Elephas maximus indicus: one gene and its partner. The protein of the gene in region 1 purifies or fractionates together with the protein of each later gene. This does not show direct contact. Links are inferred from orthologs where the notes say so. Each region holds a gene or a part of one and is shown in the gene's direction. Other genes may lie near its edges.

The links. Proteins that work in one complex are often made in the same cells at the same time.
Region 2: the proteins of DNAJA1 (region 1) and ENDOG purify together in Homo sapiens (affinity purification with mass spectrometry; 3 studies listed by BioGRID and IntAct, counting the BioPlex papers as one, with this or other methods). This does not show direct contact. The link is inferred for Elephas maximus indicus from reciprocal best matches to the Homo sapiens genes DNAJA1 and ENDOG.

What each region holds. Positions count from the first base shown.
Region 1 is NC_064827.1:42,214,794-42,221,887, forward strand, and holds the start of DNAJA1 (dnaJ homolog subfamily A member 1), read left to right. Parts: upstream 1-4,082; 5' UTR 4,083-4,253; intron 4,254-5,360; 5' UTR 5,361-5,370; coding exon 5,371-5,502; intron 5,503-5,858; coding exon 5,859-6,036; intron 6,037-7,094.
Region 2 is NC_064827.1:79,804,764-79,812,629, forward strand, and holds the start of ENDOG (endonuclease G, mitochondrial), read left to right. Parts: upstream 1-4,865; 5' UTR 4,866-5,093; coding exon 5,094-5,600; intron 5,601-7,250; coding exon 7,251-7,360; intron 7,361-7,866. UniProt on the Homo sapiens protein: Endonuclease that preferentially catalyzes the cleavage of double-stranded 5-hydroxymethylcytosine (5hmC)-modified DNA.

The sequences.
Region 1 (7,094 bases):
TTGTCTTCTTTATTTTGGTGGTCTCAAGAGGTTATCTTCATATTTGCATCACACTTGCATTGTTCTCAAAATTGTGGAAATTTCTGTTGGGTCCCTGAAGCAGAAAGAAACACTAAACATGGTAATATTTATTGTAGAAACTCTTGGGTGAAGTGATTTGACATACATCATTGTTGTTGTTGTTAGTACCATCAAGTCAATTCCAACTCATAACAACCCTATGTACAACAGAACAAAATACTGCCCAGTCCTGTGTCAACCTCACAATTGTTGCTATGTTTGAGCCCACTGTTGCAGCCACTGTGTCAATCATCTTGTTGAGGGTCTTCTTCTTTTAGGCTGACCCTCTACCAAGCATGATGTCCTTCTCCAGGGACTGATTCCTTCTGATAGCATGTCCAAACTTCGTGAGATGAGGTCTCGCCATTCTCATTTCTAAAGAGCATTCTGGCTGTACTTCTACCAAGACATCATACGATTCTTATTTCATGTGCTTAATCAATGTTAGGTTCACAAATACATAAATTCATGTTACAGTAAGGTAGGAACTTTTAGACAATTGTTCTATAACACATGAACACTATTATCTACTGTTTTTATTGTTTATGCCTATTTCATGCCTTCACACTTGCTGGTCTGCCCGGTAAACCCATCTGTATGTTGTATGGCTCTCCTACTCAGCAGTCCAATACGCTCCCTTTACTAGCAGTTATCACACTGAACTTTTTTTTTTGTACTCTTTTTTTTTAATAGTGCTTTAAGTGAAAGTTTACAAATCAAGTCAGTCTCTTACACAAAAATTTATATACACCTTGCTATGTACTCCTGGAAACCCTGGTGGTGTAGTGGTTAAATGCTACAGCTGTGAACCAAGAGGCTGGCAGTTCGAATCCGCCAGGTGCTCCTTGGAAACTCTATAGTGCAGTTCTACTCTGTCCTATAGGGTTGCTATGACTCGGAATCAACTTGATGGCAGTGGGTCAGTGGGTTATGTGCTCCTAGCTGCTCTCCCCCGAATCAGACAGCACACTCCCTCTCTCCACCCTGTATTCCCTCTGGCAATTCAGCCAACTTGGTTTCCCCTCAGCCCACTCACCTCCCCTCCAAGCAGGAGATGCCCACATAGTCTCATGTGTCTACTTGAGCCAAAAAGCTCTCTCCTCACCAGTATCATTTTCTATGTTATAGTCCAGTCCAATCCCTGTTTAATGTCTTAGTCATTTAGTGCTTCCATAACAGAAATACCACAACTGGGTGGCTTTAACAAAATTTATTTTCTCAAAGTCTGGTAGGTTATATCCGCCAGACGCTCCTTGGAAACTCTATGGGGCAATTCTACTCTGTCCTATAGGGTCACTATGAGTCGGAATCGACTCCACAGCACTGGGTTTGTTTGTTTCGTTTTTTTTTTTTTTAGTAGGTTATAAGTCCAAATTCAGGGCGTCGGCTCCAGGGGAAGGTTCTTTCGGCTCTGGAGGAAGGTCCTTGTCCTCAATATTCCCTTGGTCAAGTAGATTCTCAGGTGCAGTGACCCTGGGTCCAAAGGATGCACTCTGCTCCCTGCTTTCTTGGTGGTATGAGGTCCCCAACTCTCTGCTTGCTTCCTTTTCATCTCTTGAGAGATAAAAGGTGGTGCAGGCCACACCCTAGGCAAACTCCCTTTACCTTGGATCAGAGAGGTGACTTGAGTATGGGTGGTGTTACAATCCCACCCTAATCCTCTCAACATAAAGTTACAATCACAAAATGGAGGACAACCACACAATACTGGGAATCATGGCCTAACCAAGTAGATGCACACATTTTTGGGGGGACATAATTCAATCCACGACATCTGAAGACTTGGTTTTGGGAATGGTTCCAGTCTTGGGCTAACAGGTCTGGGGCGAACTTTTTTATGTCTCTAGTTCCCTTACTATGTGGTGAGCTCCTTGAGGGCAGGGACCATGACTTAGATAATTGTTTTATCATCAGGCCCTAGCACACTCCCAAGGAGCCCTGGGGGTGCCACATTTAAGCACTCAGCTGCTAACTAAAAGGTTGGCAGTTGTAAAACACCCAGTGGCTCCACGAGAGAAAAACCTAGCGATATGCTTCTGAAAAGATTACAGCCAAGAAAGTCCTATAGAGCAGTTCCACTCTGTCACATGGGGTTGCTGAGTCGGAATTTTCTGGACAGCACCCAACAACAGCACCCTAACCAAAAAAAATCCAAACTCACTGCCATTGAGGCAATTCTGACTCATACTGACCCTATAGGGCAGAGTAGAACTGCCCCATAGGGTTTCCAAGGAGCACGTGGTGGATTCGAACTGGCGACCTTTTGGTTATCAGCAAGCTCTTAACCACTGTGCCACCAGGGCTCCAACAGCACATTACCTGGCAATATTAGATTTTTAGTGTTGGTTTGAAGAAAAAAACTATACACCATAGATGATAATTCAGAAAGCAACATCTAAGACCAGAAAATTAGCTGCTGTTCAGGGAGAGCAAACAGTACACAGAAGTGAAACAGTGCATTTGGAACCTGACAGCTCTGGTGACTGGTGTGCAGTTTAAATAAACAGAGAATGATGAGGTAAGCAGGGACATGCTTCCAGGGTAAAGTTCAAAAAGATAACACCTAGCGTGGAAGATGTTTCCCAACTTGCTCTGAAGCCTCACCTCCAGCTACTCCAGCCCATTAGCTCTGGCTATATCCAATTACTCGCAGTTTCCAAAAGACACACTTCTTCCACACATCTCAAGGCCTGCCTTTGTGCTTTGTCCTTTGCTGGGAATATTCTCCTCCCTTCTTCAAAACTCAGCTCAACTGTCACTTTCCCGGGGACGTTTTCCCTACTCCATCAGTCTAATATAGACCCCTCCTCCCCTGCTGACCTGCCTCTTGCTGTTATAGTTCAATGACTTCTCCGGCTCCCTCACTAAAGACTAAGTGTCGTGGACCAGGCTTTTCCACCTTTCCATTTTCAGCTTCTCCGGTGCTAGATATTCACCATATGTTTGTTTATGTAACTGAATAACCCAGGCCCCTATTTTCCATTATGCCCTCGTCCCAAAATTTGAAAGCGCATGAGCTCACTTTATAGACTGTAGATCCAGGTTCACATACTAACAGAACCTGAAATTCAGATAAAGTCATTAGAACAACTTTTTACATTTAGCCACTCTCGATGGTACTGCGTCCCCAGCTAGCCAAACCAGGTGAAAGCCTGGCCAGAGAAGGGCTCAAGGCTCTCAGCTTGCGCCAAGACATCCTAAACGTTTCCCTATTTATTTGCACAATCCCCTGAGCTCCATGTGTAGGAAACAGCATGGCCCAAGGCTGGGACCTGGACTTGCACAAAGAGCTCTTTCAACCTCCCATTTGGTGAATTACAAGATCCTGTATGGAAACCCTGGTGGAGTAGTGGTTAAGTGCTACAGCTACTAAGAGGTTAGCAGTTCAAATCTGCCAGGCGCTCCTTGGGAACTGTATCGGTTAGTTCTACTCTGTCCTATAGGGTTGCTATGAGTTGGAATTGACTCAACAGCAGTGGGCTTGGGTTTTTTTTTTTTTGTATTCTGCGTGAAATACAGCAAGACCCAAGGCCTCTGACACTGGTCTGAAGGCCAGGCCCGCCTTGCTCAGCATTTCTTGCTCGGCATGTTCCCATAACCTCAGGGCTGAGGAACTAAACCGCTTGAAGACGCCGAAAGACGCAAATGAGGCGAATGCAGAGAGGAGGGGCTGCAGGGCTTTGTTCTGAAAGGTTTCCGTTCAGCAGACCGCATTCGCCAGGGGCCCTGCTCCAAGCTCTCCCTAACCCTACGAGCGGCGGCGTCCACTTCACCCATTTGAATTCTCCGAGTTGCCTCGGAATTGCAGAGCAAACTGAATAATCCCTGCTTCCGCCCGAGACTTCCGCATCCCGGGCCCGCCGGGTAAAGGAAAGGGGCTCCAGAAGGTTCCATGAGCTTCAAGAACCCAGGCTTACGCCCACCCCCCCACAAGGCCTTTCGGCACAGCGCCTCCCACCCCGAGCGCCCCCGCGCCGTTGCCCAGGTAACTGCGGGGAGGTGGCAGCGGCCAAGAGGGGCGGGACTTCCGGCGAGTGACGCGCCGCGGCTCGGCTACAAAAGACGACGGCTGCGGCGCTCCGAGGGGAACTTTCCAGAACGCTCGGTGAGAGGTGGAGGGGTGGCGACTCCCGAACTGCGTACAGCTACGCGCTCCGTCCCGCTCCCCCACACCAGCCTCGGTCCGCTCAACTGTGAGTTTCAGTCCTCGCGCTTCCCCTTGTCTCCGCCTGGCGCCATTGGTGGCGCCGGGATTCCGGATGGAGTCGCGGGCGGGAGGCGGTTGGCTCCGCGTGGGCGAGAGGGTTGTCGGTACCCATATCCACGATTCTCAGTCTGGAGGGCTGGTGTGTGACTCGGCAATGAATCTCCGGCTCGCAGTGAATGGGCCCGAGACCTTGAACTCTCCCACTCCTCATCCAGTCTGTGGACCCAGAGGAGGCGCCGCCTTCCTGCCCCTCTGTCCGCGCCCCCGACCCCCCCGTACCGTACTTTCTCGGGGTGGGCGGCCTCGCGCGCACGCGCAGAGGGAGGCAGGGAGTCGAGGGGCTGCGGGAGGAGCCTGCGGCTTTCGTTTCTTTCTCCCCACCCTCTCTTTGTTGAGGGCTGGGCTTCGCTCTCCACCCCTTCGATCCGTGGTGGGCGGGAGAAAGGAAGGAAACCTTAACGGTCGGCGCCAAATGCAGGGGAGAACCTGACGAGATGTAAAGTACCCTGCCTTATGGGGAGAGGGGGTTGGACGGTTAAAGCGGAGGAGTGTAAACCCTGTGATTGAGAAACATCTCTAAGGACTTGGGGGAGGGGAGCTGTTTCTCTGGATCTGGTGTTTCTGATTATTTCTGTAAACCAATTCCCCCTATCCCCAATTGTGCCCAAACGTCTTTTTTCTGGGGAGTATATGGCGTTATTAGACTTACCAAAGACGGTAAAACGTGAGAATCCACGGACCGAACCTACTATGCTTCTTTTTATTGTGGCTGGCTGTCACCACCTTTGGGAGGGGGAAACAAGCAACCCAGGTAATAATGTGTTAGTTCGGATACTTTAGTGTGGGAGAGTGGAAGCCAACTGCTACAAGGAGCCCTTGAGTTATTCGTTGGTAATTACTGTTTTATGTTTAGTCTACTAGAATTTGTGGCTGAGTTATCCCAGAAATTGTTACTTTTACGGTGAAGTTTAGATAGTGAGGTGGTATTCCTCTAATCAGATTTGGCGAAGGACTCAACTTTTGTCTTAACTCTGACTTTACTAATTAAAACTACAATTTGAAAGTCGGTTAAAATGGCATTTTCTTATTTCAGGCTGTAGAAAATGGTGAAAGAAACCACTTACTATGATGTTTTGGGGGTCAAGCCCAATGCCACCCAGGAAGAGTTGAAAAAAGCTTATAGGAAACTGGCCTTGAAGTACCACCCTGATAAAAATCCAAATGAAGGCGAGAAGGCAAGTAGTACGTCCTTAAAAGTATCTGAATAGTTCTTTCCCAGGTGTCTAGTTTTTATAGTACCACGTGAAATTGAGTGTATCTGACATAATGGCAAAAGGAGCCCTGGCATGATATGGTTAAGCGCTGTGGTGCTAACCAAAAGGTCAACAGTTCAAACCCAACACCCACCAGAGGCTGCATGGGAGAAGAGATCTGGCAATCTGCTACCATAAAGAAAGATTACAGCTTAGGAAACTATGGAGCAGGTTGCTATGAATTGGAATCAACTTGACAGCATAACAACATAATGGCTGTGCTTTGTAAGTTTTGTTTTAAAAAATGAAATTTATTCTTTTTTTTTTTTCTCAAACAGTTCAAACAAATTTCTCAAGCTTATGAAGTGCTTTCTGATACAAAGAAAAGAGAATTGTATGACAAAGGAGGAGAGCAGGCCATCAAAGAGGGTGGAGCAGGTGGTGGTTTTGGCTCCCCCATGGACATCTTTGATATGTTTTTTGGAGGTGGTGGAAGGATGCAGAGAGAAAGGAGAGGTAAGACAACCTAGTCCACATGCAGCAAATTAAAGTAGCCATTGGTCAAAACAGATTGTTGAGCAACCATAAGTTTTAAATGCATGTTTATGTTGGTATAATGTTGGGTACTTAATTTATGGTGTAGTTTAGATTGAGGTTTGATGTAACAATATGCTAAAAAAAAAAAATTTGCTAAACCAATTAAGCGGTAACAGATTATTCGTAAAGGTCTTGCATGTACTATGATTAATCAAACACTAAAGAAACAAAATAACAGCAACATAATTTTCAAAGTGTTTTTTATAGATACCAGGCTCATAGCGACCCAGTGTTAAATACAGTAAGTAGCCTCTTCAGTCAAAGGTGATCTGAAGTAAATTTTATGAGGGTCATACAGCCAGTCCACTGTAGAGCCAGAATCAGAACACAGGTTCATTGTCTTCACATAGCTTGTTAGCTGTAATCTTGATTCAGCTTTATTTTATCAAAATACATGAATTTTTATTTAGCAGAAACGTAGTCTGCAGGCTGTAGAAATATTGTTCAGTACAGTGTTCTGGTCAAGAGAAGACAGTCTCACCTTATTTCCTGTATGTTTTATACAAACAAGGGCTAATGAGTAGAGGCCAACTTTAGAACAAATGGGCAAGTCGTTAAATTTCACTCTGAGCTTTTTAAGAAGTTGTTTTGTTTTACTTTTTTAAATAAGGGATTGACCTAATAGCTATCACTGGCAAATTTTTTGTGTGGATTAAATCAACGAGAGGTTGCTTTTTGGCATGAGACCAATTGGACCAGAAAATACATGCTTCATTAAGATCCAGAAACTTTATTTTCTTGTACTCTAGACTCTGTATAAAGTGAGCAGGGCAGTTTTCATCATGCTAAAACCATTTACATAGGGTTGTGTTTATGATATTCCAAAGTTGGAGCTAAGAACAGAAGGGTGTATAGTAAATGCCATGTAGCATTTCATTGGAAACTAAAAGTGTTTACAGGTGCAGAAAGGAGTTGGAAAACTTTCAGTTAGGTATAAGGAAGTACTGTTTGGTGGATAAAGTCCTTGATGGAAAGAC
Region 2 (7,866 bases), about 38 Mb from region 1:
TGTGTCTCTGAGTCTCCCAGGTATGTCTGCTTTTTTTCTGTGTCTTTGAGGATTAGTGTAAGGGTATCTTTCAATCCTTCTAGGTCTCTCTGTTCTCTGTCCCTGTCTCTCTCCCTCTGGCTCCCTCTCTTCTCCCCTCACTTCTTCACAGAGGGTGGGTGTGACATTCTCACTCCGGATGTTCCTCTCTCCATTGCTCTCCTTCTGCCTTTTTTCTCTTGGGGTGCCTTATCCCTGACCTCTTTCCCTCCTGACCCCTCCCCAACTCCCATGAACCCAGGAGACAGAAAGGATCCTGGCCCAGCATAGCCCCTGGACGTCAACCCCGGCCTTTGCATCCTGTTCCCACCCCCGAGTCCCAGGCTCCTGGGTTCCCCAGTCTGGGAGGGAGTTCACAGTGCCTCACTAGAGGCCACTCAACCTGCCCCCTATGACAAAAACTTGGAAACCAAAAGCTGCTGAGAAATAATGAAGAGGGAGACCTGTATCTTTCCAGAAGTTCTCCCAAAGGCTCTTCCCTCTCTAGGGTGGTTTGTGTTCCAAGGGAAAAGGTTGCTAAGAAAATTCTATTCCAGGGTTTTGGATCCAAGTGCTTCTGAAGAGTTGACATTCCCTTGGCTTCCAGGTTCTAGCCCAGATGGTGCCTACCTGGGGCCAGGCATAAATGAGCTCAGAGGCCCTGGATCCTGTCAGGAGAGTCTGTGTCAGCACCTTTGCATGCCCCTGCACCTCCCAAGCAGGTGGGAGGAGGTGCTGGCCCTTCTCTGGTCACCTGCTTGTGCTGTCCCCAGGTCTTGGGGCATGTACTCTAAGCAGAGGCAGCTAACTACTCCCAGTGTTGGGCTGTGAGAGTGGTAAGACTGTTCAGACAACCCCCGAACCTTCTTATGTAAGGAAGCAGGTAGTGTGGGTCTGGAAGCCTGGGTAGCAAGGGTCCTCAGCCTCTCCCCAGACTGGCCCACAGGAGCAGGGCCCCAGGAACCCTGTTGGCCCCAAAGCCTCCTGACTCTAGCAGCAGGACTTCTTGCTGGCCACCCAAGCCCAGCCGTAGGCAAGAAACCGCTTCCCTAGGTGACTCCTTTCCCAGGCTATACCTTGGACTCTTCTGGGACTTGATGCACTTGCCTTTTTGCTTCCTCCCAACACACAGTATTTGGAAGACTTTACTATTTATTCAGACTCCTAGTTATTTATTGCAGATTGGCAAGTGCTTGGTTTGGGGATGGTGGATGCGGCATGAAGGTGGAAATGAGTTAGAGACGTGGTCCTCCTGGTGACCCAGGGTCAGAGCCAGCATTCTCTTCCCCTGCCTTTCAGACCTTCCTGGTTTTACCAGGTCCTGGCTGGGAGGGAGCTGTACTGGAGCTGAATGGAAGGGAGACAAGAGAGCTAGTATCCTTGCCAGACTCCAGGGCCCCTTGGACAGGGCACACACTGCTTCCCACCAGCCTGGAATACCCTCTTCTTAGGACTTGTCAGTGGGTGGTTCAGCCCCAACCCCCTCATGGCCTGGGACTCAACAGATACTGCCCAGGATATCTGATGCATTCCCTGTTGCCTGCCCACCTGCCCTTCTATTTGGGGCCATACTACCTGAGTCACTCCATCTAATTTGCCTAAGTGGTAGACCTGGCTCCAGTGCCCTCTTCTTGACCTTGAGGTGAAGGTCAAGATCAAAGGGACTATGACCTGGTTAGGTTGAGCTCCACAGTGGGATACTGCCTAGGAAAAGACCTTCCCTTGGTGATTTCCTCTCCCCAGACTCTCAAGGGAGCTCCTTAGAGAGCCAGAGTGCCCAAGGCTTCCTCCTTGAGAAGCTGCCCTCAGGACTTGGGACACTTACACACATTGGGCTGTATGAATTCAGCGGGCTTCACTCCAGAGGGTCAGAATGTTAGTCTGCTTTTTTTTTTTAATCTGTTTTGTTCCTTGGATCAATGCTGTTGATAAATTGTCTTTAAGAAATCATGTGTTCTTTGCATTGGTGCTATAATGGGCTGAAACCTCAGAGAGGTCTCTGGGAGCAGGGAACAAAGTCTAAACAGGGACGGAGTTAGAAGTCTTCCTTGAGCAGTCTAAGAAAGGCCAGGAAGTCTTGTCGTAAGAGATTGTGCAGACCTCATTCAACCACAGCAAGTTATAGCTGGTGGGAGTGTGGACTGGGAGAGGATGTGTAACGTACATGGTTACACAGTAAGTTATTTTTTAGATTTAAAAAATTTTGAAAACTGAAAAACATGTAAATAAAACAAGTTACCCATAATCCCACAAAATCAATGACAGCATGTTAGTCTTTTTAAGCAAATGCAATTTTTATTACATAATTATTTTCTTGATAGTTTTATATATTAGAGTAAGTTTTATGATGAAAAAATTTTTATGAATACTATATACTATTGTTAGGTGCCATCGAGTTGGTTCTGACTCATAGCAACCCTGCATACAACAGAACAAAATACTGCCTGATCCTGTGGCATCTTCACAATTGTCATGCTTGAGCCCATTGTTGCAGCTACTGTGTCAATCCATCTCTTTGAGGGTCTTCATCTTTCGCTGACCCTCTACTTTACCAAGCATGATATTCTTCTCCAGGAACTGGTCCTTCCTCATAACATGTCCAAAGTACGTGAAACGAAGGCTTGCAATGCTTGCTTCTAAAGGAGCATTCTGGCTGTACTTCCTCGAAGACAGATTTGTTTGTTCTTCTGGCAATCCATGGTACATTGAGTATTCTTCACCAGCACCATAGTTCAAAGACATCAATTTTTTTTCTGTCTTCCTTATTGTCCAGTTTTCTCATGCATATGAGGCGATTGAAAACACCATGGCTTGGGTCAGGTGCACCATAGTCCTCAAAGGGACATCTTTGCTTTTCAACACTTTAAAGAAGTCTTGCAGCAGATTTGCCCAATGCAATATGTTGTTTGATTTGACTGCTGCTTCCATGGGCATTGATTGTAGATCCAAGTAAAAAAATCCTTGACAACTTCAGTATTTTCTCTGTCATAATGTTGGTTATTTGTCCAGTTGTAAGGATTTTTATTTTCTATATGTCGAGGTGTAATACACACTGGAGGGTGTAGTCTTTGATTTTCACCAGTAAGTGCTTCAAGTCCTCTGCTTTCAGCAAGCATGGTTGTAACACTGCAGGTTGTTAATGAGTCTTCCTCCAATTCTGATGCCTCGTTCTTCATATAGTCCAGTTTATTGGATTATTTGCTCAGCATACAGATTGAATATGGTGAAAGGATACAACCCTGATGCACACCTTTCCTGATTTTAAACCACACAGTATCCCCTTGTTCCATTTGAACTACTGCCTCTTGGTCTATGTACAGGTTCCATATGAGCACAAGTGTTTTGGAATTCCCATTCTGCACAATGTTATCCATAATTTGATATGATCCATACAGCAGAATGCCTTTGCATAGTCAATGGAATGCCTTTGTGTAGTCAATGGATAGTATATCAGGTATGTTATCTAGCATGCTAAAAATGTCTAATTAGTTCCTATTTCTGTTACATTGCTTATCCCAGCCCTTATTTTTACATAATGTAATGAATATTTGTTTTTGAAGTCCTTGCATTTCTGATTATTTCCCTACTTAAGTCCAGTAAAGATTGAAAGGTAAGGCTTTTCATCCTGTAAGAATGGTGTGGTGGTGAGGGCATCTGACCTTCTCTAACTTAACAAGGGGGAAGGCTCTCAGCTTTCTTGTTCTGTGGGCTAGGGAAGCCCACTGTGCTGTCTCCTGGTCTCCTGTTCTGTTGCCTCTGCCTGCTGCTGGTTCTCACAGTCTCTAGTGTTAACAGCTTTCTTGTCTCCTGGGTCTAGGAGGTTCTCAGTGCAGGGATCCTGGGTCCAAAGGACGTGCTCCACTCCTAGCTATTCCTTCTTGGTAGTGAGCCCCCTCCCCTCTGCCATGTTAGGGTCTCTCCCCTTTTATCTCTTGTAAGATAAAAGGTGTGACTCAAGGACATGACTTCAATAAGGGTGTTGACTTGAGTCACACCCTCCAGTAAGGTGGTTACTCAAGATACATCCCACCCTAATCCTGCCTCATTAACATAATGGACAACTCACTCCCAAATGGGACCATAACCAGAGGCATAGCGGTTAGTATTTACAACACATCACAAAATGGAGGATATTGTACATCAGCTCACAAAATGGAGGACAGCTTCATCATTACAGAACTGCCAAACCACTGAAAAGCATGGCCCAGCCAAGTTGATGGATGACCTTAACCATCACAGTTTCCATACACCTGTTTGCATGGTCCTACACAATCATTGTATGGAAGTCACAAAGGCTTTGGCTAGAAGGGCCGTATTACGTAATTAACAGCACCACACATACTGCTAAACTGCTTTCAGTAATAGTTTTATCGGTTTCCATTTCAACCAGTAGTTTGATAGCATCAATTGCCTGCATCATTGTTCTGAGCGCTGGGTGTTTATTAAGGAAATCTTTGCCAATCATGTGGGACTTTTAGCTTATTTTATGCTGTAATTGTTAGGAGAATGGGCTCGCTCTGGTGTCCGACAGACCTGTAGTCTTTTCCTTGTTCTGCCAACTAGGAAGTCCCTCTCGGGACTCTGGAAGATTAAACGAAGTTTAGACCAAAGCTTGACACTTCTTAGGGCTCCTTACATACGAGTTTCTCCCACAAGCGCGGAGTCCCTCCGTGGAGACCAGGGGGCGGAGGCAGGGCGGAGCTGAGCCTGACGGAGGCCAATAGTGGCCTGAGGTGCTGGTGCCTCGCCCCTCACGCCCGTGTCTTAAAAGGGCAAAGAAAGGGCGACGGGAGCCCGTTTTACTGCCCTCTGCGACGGCACTGGGTCTTGTTTTGTGTGTGTGTGTGTGTGACTGGGCACTGGGTTGTTAGCACTAACCCTTCTGAACGGCAGGGAATGGAATGTCCTAAAACACTGTAATTGTCCCGCGCCCCATCAGCCCCTATTCTTACGGTGGACCCCGCAAGCCGCAGCAGCCATTTTAAGAGCCTGCGAGTCCGGCGCCCAAGGTCGCCGCGCTCCCTCGACCCCTCAGGCCGCGTTCCGTCGCTTCTCCCCGGTCTCGGTCCTCCGCCATGCGGGCTCTGAGGGCCGGCCTGACCCTGGCGCTCGGCGCGGGGCTGGGCGCAGCCGCAGAGGGCTGGCGGCGGCGGAGGGCAGATGCGCGGGCGGCGCCGGGGCTCCTGGGCCGGCTGCCCGTGCTGCCCGTGGCGGCGGCGGCCGAGCTCCCCGCCTTGCCTAGGGGACCGGCGGGCAGCGGCCCCGGAGGGCTGGCCAAGTACGGGCTGCCCGGGCTGGCGCAGCTCAAGAGCCGCGAGTCGTACGTGCTGTGCTACGACCCTCGCACCCGTAGCGCTCTCTGGGTGGTAGAGCAGCTGCGGCCCGAGCGGCTCCGCGGCGACGGCGACCGCCGCTCGTGCGACTTCCGCGAGGACGACTCGGTGCACGCGTACCATCGAGCCACCAATGCCGACTATCGCGGCAGCGGCTTCGACCGCGGCCACCTCGCTGCCGCCGCCAACCACCGCTGGAGCCAGAAGGCCATGGACGACACCTTCTACCTGAGCAACGTCGCGCCCCAGGTAGTGCCCGCGCACAGGCTGTGGGACGCGGGGCCAGCCGCCTCGCCTCTCTGAGTCTTGGTTTGCCCATCTGCAGAGTGGGTAGCTGCTGAGCGCGCGTTCTAGGTCAGGCGCGCAGTGAGGAAGGTTCGGAGTACTGGGGACACTGAGCGTGTCGGGGCTCCGAGCTCCGGCTCTGCAGTCGTACTAGGGCTTTGACTCACCGCGGGCCCTAGACGCCTGCCTGAGTTTCAGTTTTCTCGGGTGTAAAATGTAGAGCCGAAGTACTAACGACACAATGCATGTGAAAGTACTGAGCACACTTCCTGGCTCGGGCAAGCATTCAATAAATATGTTAGTTATTGCTATAACGGGGGCACTGAGGCTCAGAGAGGTACAGCGACTAGCTCAGCGTCAGTGGGCCTCAGGGAGAGAACCCAGGCAGTCTGTCTACAGGAGCCTGAGTTTTCAGCCACTGCCCTACCTTGCCTGCTGCACACTATCAGGCTGTACCAATCCCAGTGCACCCTTGACAAGCTGTCCTACCATTGGCCCCATGCCCAGCAGGACCAGGCACCCAGTGGATGCAGAATGATGGGGACTCCGAAGTTGTAGGGGTCGAGCCAGTGACCTGACTTCTTATCCTTTCCTACTGGCACAGCCCCTACCCGTTGGACTAGACATTGTACTGAGGTCTGGAGAGCTAAAGTGATAGAGTCAGTAGCAGATTGTTTAAAGTTCCCAGCTGGGCCGTGAATGTAGTTTGATTGGGGAAAGGAGAGAAGAGGTAATTATGGAGAACTGGCCTTCTCAAGAGCCCCTCCAGGGACCAGGCCTCAGTTTCTCTCTCTGAAAGTGAGAGAAAATGTGCCCTATTGCTTCTTGCAACTCTTTGGAGAAAAGGCTTTGAGACCTGGGGTGCTGGTTCTCCTGTCCTAGATGGAGTGAGGGTGACTAGCACCCAGGGCTTCAGACAGGTTCTTCCCTCATTCAATCATGGCTGAGGAAGCAACACCAGGACAGAACCAAATTTCTAAAATTTGGGCAAACCGTAACCCCATAACCATAATGGGAAAAATCATAGGTGGAAGACCTGCCAGAAATGTAAATCTCCCTTTAGAAAACAAGGGCAGCGTACCCATTGCATAGCAACCAAATCTTTTACTGTTGGATTTTGCGAATTTGTGCAGAGTTGGAAATAGCGGTGCCCTGCTCAAAGATGGCAGCCAACAGCACCACTTTGAATGTGTCACTGTCCTCAATCCTGGCAATAATCCAGTCTCACCCATCAGGCTCTGGAAAGGGCTCACTACTCCTCTTCTGAGTCTTCCATTCCAGGGCTTTGACCTGCAATTTTTCCCATTCCAGTAATGGTTCTGGACCACCCAAATTTTTTAAAATTGGGGTCTGTTTGGGTTTAGGTTCCTTGGCCATGACTGACCTGGTTCTAACCAGTTCAAAGCCCTGTTAGCACCCCATCAGCCCTACCCAGGCTCTGTCCTCATGGCCACGTGTGATGGAGTGACTCCTTCAGCCTCACTTTCCTCCTCTTGCTTGCCCCCAGCTAGATATTCCTGGCTTGGTGCCAGTGTCCACATCCTCAGGGCAGCCCTTGCAAGAACGGGAGGAAGTCTCTTCCTGGGTCTCACTGAGCACCACCTCTCCTCCCAGGTGCCCCACCTCAACCAGAATGCCTGGAACAACCTGGAGAAGTACAGCCGCAGCTTGACGCGTAGCTACCAAAATGTCTATGTCTGCACGGGGCCGCTCTTCCTGCCCAGGTGAGGCTGGAACTGAGGGTTTGGGAATAGCAGGGCCTCACATTCACGTGCGTCTCCTCCTGCCACTTACCCCATTCAGGCTTGCCCCAGGCTCTGGGTCAACACTATCAGGTCACTACTCATCTGGTTTCTTGACAGGCATACCTGTCTCCCTGCCTCACGACGCCCCCACCCCCCAATTCTACAGCCAGAGACCTTTTGGGTACCTCTGCCCAAGGACACCCTTGCTCTTCTGGCCACACCTATTCTGCCCAGATAGAAAACTTGCAGGTCCCCGAATGTACCAAGCTCTTGCTTTCAGCCTCTCTTCTTCTTGGAGCACTCTTCCGGTTTGAACTCAGATCTGCCTGACCAAAAGCCTTACTCTTGTCCCTTTGCAGCCCTGCCTCCCAGGTGGGACTGAGGCTCTGTACACTCAGTGATTTTCCTGGCCCCCTGAGGACCGGGATGCGTGAGGTTAACAGGTTGTGCGCAGCTGGCTCTGACGTCCACAGACTCAATCACTT